2 linked regions of the Lepisosteus oculatus genome follow. The protein of the gene in region 1 purifies or fractionates together with the protein of each later gene. This does not show direct contact. Links are inferred from orthologs where the notes say so. Each region holds a gene or a part of one and is shown in the gene's direction. Other genes may lie near its edges.

Region 1 (3,751 bases):
CTTCCTTTCCAGTTTAAATCGTGAAAGATGCATGGCCTCTTTTTGACCCATTCCACTCGATTATTATTATTATTATTATGGTGGTGGTTGTGGTGGTTCTGATTGTGTTCTCTGATCTGTCACAAGAAAGGATCACAAGAGCACTCTCTTGTGGTCATTTCTAAATAGTGAAATGTTGTGCCAGAACAACAAATTAAATTTTGTTGTTGTTGTTGTTGTTGTTATTTTTGGAGAAAATATGAATATTTGGATTTTTTATTTTAAATTAAAAATTAACTCCATAAGAAATGTTCTGCAACTATTACAAAAAATGATGGTTCTACCTGTACATCATTAACTTTCGTCCGTGCGTTGACACATTAATACTTGAATCGAGCTGTTAAAAATGAAAAATAACGAAAATTAACATTACAAAATGTAATGCATCCATTTTTTACGGGTTTAAGTAATTACTGCGTTACGTTTTAATGTCTCATTCTTTACCAGGCAAACAGCTGTCCTGCAACATGTAAATCGATTAATTTGCAGAAGTGAATGTAACGCATTGCGCGATTAATCGCAAATGAATGTACATTAATTTACAGGACAGATGGAAACATATAACCCTGTTTAGAGGCAGAGAGAGTCAGTGTCAGGATGGCCGAGTGGTCTAAGGCGCCAGACTCAAGGAGCGACTCCTTCCCCGGGCGGGTATTCTGGTCTCCGAATGGAGGCGTGGGTTCGAATCCCACTTCTGACATGACCTTTTTTGTCTCTTGTTTTCTCCCACCGTATAAAAACGGACGCGTCCCATTCTCTGTTATAAAAGTTCTGTATTTTAGATTGAGAATATTCCGCGTCCGTGAGGACAATCTAAAACGCGTGTTTAGCTTTTGCCCCTTCTTGTTACCACGACGTGCCCGCGTCTCCACTCTTCACCTGGCATCGGCTTCACCAGTAAAACCGCCGAGACACCGCCAGGGGGCACTGCTCTCGCCTTTTCAGACAAAACCCGAACCAACACGGGTCTTGGCCTCTCGTTTAACCATCAGACCCACAATACACGGTGTACCTGTACTTGCTTGGTAAAGACAGGGGTCTTACAAGCCTTAATATATGATGACGGATGTTTTTTTGGCAATAGTGGGCCCCGAAACAGGCTCGCCCAAGAAACGAAATGCATGCCGCGGCGTCTCTTAAAGTGGGCGGAAACAGAAATGCGGCGCCAGATAGTTCGGCTACACCTCAGACGTGTTTCGTTTGAGTCTGTCGGTTTTCTCTACGGCGGCCCTCCTTGCCAGGGACGCGATAAATAGATCGAGTCCGTCCCGGCGCGGCTCGCGGCTCTCGCTCGGGTCACGCTGTCGCGTTCCTGCGCGTGTGCTTCCGGGTGCTGTCGGAGTCGGGGCAGCAGGGGATCCAACCAGACAGACGGACCCAGGAGCAGGAGCAGCAGCAGCGAGAGGAAAACTCGAGAAACCGAGGAGAGGTCAGGCGGTGTGCCGTGACGGTTTTGTTGTTTTCGGGGCGATCGGCGCGGACGCCGAGCCGATCCGAGCCACGACAAGTAGTGAAAACACGGGGGGGGTGTCTTCCAAGACATTCCCCGAGTACCTCCGGCACTGCTTATAACCCGACGTCGTTGACGCATACAAGAATGAAACGGCCCTGACCCGTGTCCTAGCACAAGCCCACGACGGGGAGTTGGCTTTGACACCGGTTTCGTGTAAGAGTGCACTATTGTGTCGCCAGTCGTGCGTCTTTGCGTGAGTCAGTTTTGCGCCGGGGTTGCGTGAGGCCCTCCGGGACTCGTCTCCCTGCGCCTGTCGCCGTCTGTCGCTCCGGCTGGGGTCGCGCTCGGGTTGTCGACAAGGGCTTTACACCATGCTTCTGAGCTTCTGTGGGACACGATTTGCTGAGCTGTTCACCTGAAACACGGATCTAACTGTTGCAGTGAGGCGGCGGGGGGGTATTGCGGGTCTGTTGCAGCACCTGGGTCAGTGATAACCTGTCTCCTTGCCATTGGCCCCTGGTGCGGGGTCAGGGTTTTCCTTCAGACCCAGTCGGTGCGATCCTGTTCGTGACGGTGTCACCAGGCTGTTACTAAATCTGGACGGGTGGCTCTGGTCTAGATAATCGTCCAGTAAGTACTCGGGATTTGCGGAGCAAGCTGAGACTTGATATGCTTTGTTATGTTGAGAGACTTTTATTCTTGGTGTACACGATCACCTAACTCACCTTTTCACGAAGGGACCTCCGATTCTGAAAGGACAGCATTTTTCCACGGTTTCCACGAGAAATAACTACATCCGGCAGTCGTTGTCTGGAGTGTACTTGCTGAACTACTTTGTGGATTTGATCGATATAATAAACATAATTCGGATATAAGAATACTCCGAATTAAATAGCTAAGATCTCTACAATTACGGTATTTTTTTTTAAATACAATGTATGCTAACATGGCTGGAATTCAGAGATGAAGCATTAATATTTGACTAACTTTTCTTCCAGTTAAGGTTTCAGTGAAATCACAACTGTCTCCTGGTTTTCCTCGCTGTTATTAATTAATAGTATGATCTTTTTTTAAAGATGTCTTGGATTTTGTTTTGCACTTGTGACGGTGTCAGTATTCGGACGCGAACATGGTGTTTTGAAATAACCTGCCTATCTCTCTCCTAAGTGCAGAAGCCCTTCCTTGTAAAATGATTTGACATGGCTACGATTCGTCCTGGTATTGTAGTCATTTTCTGTCCACTGTTTAGTTGTTCAGCTACTGTATTAACCAGTTTTCTGACACTGCATCTTATATTTGTGCACTGTTCTTTGCAGTTCATTGTCCTGAATATTAGCCATCTTCCTCTGTGTTAATAAGCGCTTTGATGTACTTTATAATGAAAATTGCTATATAGATACAAGGAATTCTTATTAAGCTCTGTGGATAAATATACTAAAAGGCAATAAAGTGCAACAAATGAGTGTTGGAAGAAGCAGCATTTGTTGTGTTTTCAGTGCCTCGCGGTATACTTGTAACAGATCTCAAACGCTGTCCTGTGCTTTCTCTAGGAGCCAGCAACAGAGGGCTAGCTTTTCCTGTCCGCCGTTCCCTTGACTACAGCCGGAGATGGCCAGCGCGGGCCCTACGGCCTCTGGCTCCACGGACAGTGCCAGCACCGGCTGCACCACCGGAGAGGGGAGTAACCAGGACAGCACGTTTGAGTGCAACATCTGCCTGGACACAGCCAAGGACGCGGTCATCAGTCTCTGTGGACACCTGTTCTGGTGTGTGTGCGTGGATCCGTGTACCTGTTTCCCAGAATTCCATGTGCTAACGGGGGGGGGGGGGTGGGGCAGAGCCGCAGACAGGGGTGTCAGTGCGATGTGGGGGTGGGACAGGTGTGGTCCTGTGTCAATTTGTGAATGAAGAGGCACATTTAGAATTATTGGCATGGGCTATTCCGTTGTAAGCACAGGGTGAGCTACACGTTAGAAATTGTCGTGACAGCAGATTAGTTAGTTGTGGGCTTTCTTCTTTGCTGATAATGTCTAGAAGACAGCTTTCAAGGCATGATGGTCAAGATGGGCGGAGCCGTGGCTCTGTGGCTAAGGATCTGCGCCTGTGACTGGAAGGTTGCCGGTTCAAATCCCGTGGCCGGCAGAGGAATCCTACTCCTGCTACTCCTGAGCAAGGCCCTTCACCCCAACTGCTTCAGGGGCGCCGTACAATGGCTGACCCTGCGCTCTGACCCCAAGCTTCTCTCCCTGTCTGTGTGTC
Region 2 (3,751 bases), on another chromosome or scaffold:
AGCCTTACTATAACCATAAATGAAGCAGTGCCACCCAGAATTCAAAACGGTTCAACTCCAGGAGAGCTGTCAAGACCAAGTACATATTTTCACAGACTTCAAGTTTTGGAGTCATAAGCTGCAAGATTTACAAAGCAACTTCAGTTACTTTTAATATTTCTACATATTTGCTACTGAAAAGGACATGGAAGTGGAGTTTGCTCTTTGAAAGGAAATTTGCAGTTGTAAAAATAGTTTCTTATTGTAATGCAATGGACGTTTTTTTTGTTATTAGTCCATAAGATGCATCTTTTAGATGAATTTATGCTGCTTTGCTTTGAAGAGCTACACACCTGATAATGTGTAACATGTAATTTTATACTGTTTGGGAATTGTTAAATGATGGAATTGTACAGTTTTGAAAGTGTGTACACCAGTTTGATTGTAAATGTGTAAAAATGCATATTATTGTGATTAATTAAATATGTAATACCACAATTGCACCTGTAATGTGTTGATTTGGGTTTTAGTGCTCAGAATTATTATTTACTTTTATGAAAAGATTTACTACTGCATGCTGTGATGTTGAACTGCATTTTTTCCCCTTCCGGTCAAGTGAAGTTTTATACCTACTAAAAGCCTTCCGCCAAATTCATATTTGGATCCGCTGTCTCACAGCTTACATGCAACCCCCAGTTCTACAGTCCCTGGGCACAGACACCGGCTGGTTTGCCGATACCCTTCCACACACACATTCCCGGGGAACCTGCCTCCGGGCGAACACAAACGCGCAAGGCAGATGGGTTGCCTGCCCGTTCTTGCATCTTCACAGAAGTCATTTCTGTTTTGCTGTGACATCTTTTCTGTTACCTTTAGTAAATCATTTTCCGGAAACCTACACATTCAGAACCAGCCCCTCCTGCACATGTAGTTCGGTGAAATACGTCCCTGTGTGAACTTTTTTTTTTTAAATCCGTGCCAAGACAAATACCGCTCTGCGCTTATCTCGCTGCTCTTGGCGTTGTACCTTCACCTTTTCTCGATGAACTAATATCTTCCGATTTAAAGGCATTGTCTTCCAGAAACACTCCTGGGGGGGGGACTTTTATTTTTCCCGGGCGCTAACCCGCAGATGTTTTGCCCTCATCCCGTTTCAAAAACGGGTGTTCGGTTCGGAGTGCGATTAGGTCACGAAATGCCAACCGTCGAGCAATCAATCACCCGTACCATTTGACAGCTGTTGAGTCACCGAAAATCGGTAAGACCTGGTTAAGCGCAAAATCCGTCGGCATACTTGCAAAGGCAGGCAGGCAGGCCGGCCTCTCCCCTCCCCTTTAACGGGCGGTGCACTCTTCACCCGGAAGAGAAGCGGCGCTGGAGCTGCGAGTCGAGTCCATTGCTGCAGTGAGTCCTGCGGGGGGGATGGACAGGGAGGATTTCGCTCATAACCGACTTGTCAGAAGAGACTGTTTGAAAGCTTGGTGAGCAGAGTGCATTGGGATTTTTTTTAAATTAATTTAACGTGTGCAATCCATTACTCATTATGGTAATCCGTCATGGAGTTTTTTTTTTTCCTCCCTGTTTGCTACACGCCGTGCAACTGGCTGAATCCGCACTGGTTCGTGGGCTCGGGAGTTGGAGAGCTCGATTGCATCGAAAAACTTCGCTGAAATAACGTGTTGCGGGTTTAATCGAGGAACGGACACGGGCAGAGGGGCGGCGTTCGTGCTTGTGGCCGCTAGTCCCGAGTCCGGAGTGGCGGTCTTGTTACTGCAGACAGTAGCAAGATCCTGGGGCGATAAGCCACTGTGGCTTGTGGGAAAGATCCGGTCATGTTGTAACTCGTGTTTTTTCTCCGTTTCTGAATGTGTATATTTGTCTCCATACAACTGGAATTGTGCAGGAGGTATCGATTTAGGTAGCCCTTCACGAAAACGAACATGTACTATACGGCAAGCAAAAAAAATCATGTTGGACACGATTTCCAGTTTAACGTCATTCCCTCCGACTAAAGATCACGTTTTACACTGACAGTAAATCGTTAGAGCGCCTGAAGTTGCTTTTGAGCATTACCTCAAACTATAAACTGAAAGTTTAAATATACATCTGAAAGTGCCTTTATATTTAAAAAAAAAGGAGCAGACAAGAACATTAGGAACACATCTAGGCTAAACTGAGTTCATGTGTGCTCCTTGTGGATTTGAGGCGCAAGAGCACGGTGTTTGCTCACGGGAGACGAGGAAGGCAGGGTAATCCACTGGATGGGCTTAAGCAAGGTTGTTATACTTGGAAAGAGCAACCAAAACAAAGGTTTAGTTCAAGGACGGCAAATCTGAAGAGGCCCAGTTTGTGTTTGCTAAAAGAATGTGAGATGTTTCCCGGACAGAATGGAGAGTTTCGTCTGTTTCTTGAGAGAAGCCATACTCCCACACCAGGCTTCTGTGTGAAAAAGCGCTTCTGTTCTCAGTTATATTGCACTTCCCCATAGTTTCTACTTGAATCCAGTGGTTCGCTTTTCACTGATACGTTTTTTAAAAAAAAAACAAGTTCTTATTTAAACACCATAATGAAATAGATACAGAAATAAACACTTCAAAGCCAGAAGAATTCACAATTGTAAAAACTTAAAATTATACTTTTTACATATTTCCATTGTATGCCTTGCCTTTTGATTCTTTAAATTTCTAATAGAATTTAAATAAAAAAAGGAATTCAACTTTAAAGGCATGGATAGGTTTTCACTGATAAGTCTGGAGAATTCCGCTGGGACTTTGAGGATTTCGAATATTTGTTCCGAGTACCTGTGCAATATTCTCTTTTCACATTTCATTTCATTTTCACACATTTCATTTAGTGTTGAGTTCCAAAGGTGGTATTTGAGTCAGTCTGAAAAGCTGAAGTTCAGCCACCCTATGCTTTTGATGCACTTTACAGATCTGAAACCTGTCTTGTTTCTTATGCCTGTATAGATGCAGTAACATACTGCTCAACCTGGAGATTCAGTGGGTGTTTGTGATGCACTGTGTGAACTCACTAGGTTGTGCATTCTCGGTGTTGGTATAAGACATCATTTGCAGTACATGTGGATCTTGGTTTCGTGGGCTTGTCAGTTATCAGGGGGCGTGACTGCAGCTGAGCCCACAGTACAGCCTAGCCTGCTCTGGGGACACCTGCTTCTTGCTGTGGAATGTGTCACAGCTGTGGGCTGGGTGGAAGGGATCAGCTGTCTCACACTGGAACCGACCTGCCCGCCATGGAACATGATCTGTTCAGCACTGGTTTAAACCTCTTCGGGCCTGTAGTGGTCTGGAGCATTCCTGTAAACCTCTTTCAGTATGCGTCATTCCCAGAGAACTTGTTACCTTCCTGCACCTCAGTGTGAAACCTGTTTTTCCCTTGTTCTGAAATGAAATGTGTCACAGTACTGTATATACATGTTCTACTTCTGAGCAGTTATTGTACCCAAGGCTGCCGCTATGACTCTTGAACATCTTGGTTAAGGTAGGTGGTACCTTCTATGAGCTGTGTAAAAAGAAAATCACTCTTAAGGACTTATAGAGACCTGGCCCAAGTGTAGTATTACTGAATTCCTCTCTCATTTTATCAGTGTTTTAATTAAGCATGCTTAAACAGTCTAGCTTAAGCCTGGTTTATGCGGTCTTTATACGTAAATACTTGGCAAGAGTGTTTTTATCACTCTTGATCACACTGTCAGCTCTTTAGGGTATGTGTTGGTCCTCAACCTTCCCAGTATTTAAAGTGCAATCAGTTT

What was found. Proteins that work in one complex are often made in the same cells at the same time.
Region 2: the proteins of rnf185 (region 1) and erlin1 purify together in Homo sapiens (affinity purification with mass spectrometry; 3 studies listed by BioGRID and IntAct, with this or other methods). This does not show direct contact. The link is inferred for Lepisosteus oculatus from reciprocal best matches to the Homo sapiens genes RNF185 and ERLIN1.

The regions. Positions count from the first base shown.
Region 1 is NC_090717.1:6,590,350-6,594,100, forward strand, and holds the start of rnf185 (E3 ubiquitin-protein ligase RNF185), read left to right. Parts: upstream 1-1,083; 5' UTR 1,084-1,468; intron 1,469-1,495; exon of another isoform or gene 1,496-1,705; intron 1,706-1,724; exon of another isoform or gene 1,725-2,023; 5' UTR 2,024-2,122; intron 2,123-2,141; exon of another isoform or gene 2,142-2,407; intron 2,408-3,042; 5' UTR 3,043-3,100; coding exon 3,101-3,258; intron 3,259-3,751. UniProt on the Homo sapiens protein: E3 ubiquitin-protein ligase that regulates selective mitochondrial autophagy by mediating 'Lys-63'-linked polyubiquitination of BNIP1.
Region 2 is NC_090699.1:17,618,831-17,622,581, reverse strand, and holds the start of erlin1 (erlin-1), read left to right. Parts: upstream 1-1,329; 5' UTR 1,330-1,460; intron 1,461-3,751. UniProt on the Homo sapiens protein: Component of the ERLIN1/ERLIN2 complex which mediates the endoplasmic reticulum-associated degradation (ERAD) of inositol 1,4,5-trisphosphate receptors (IP3Rs).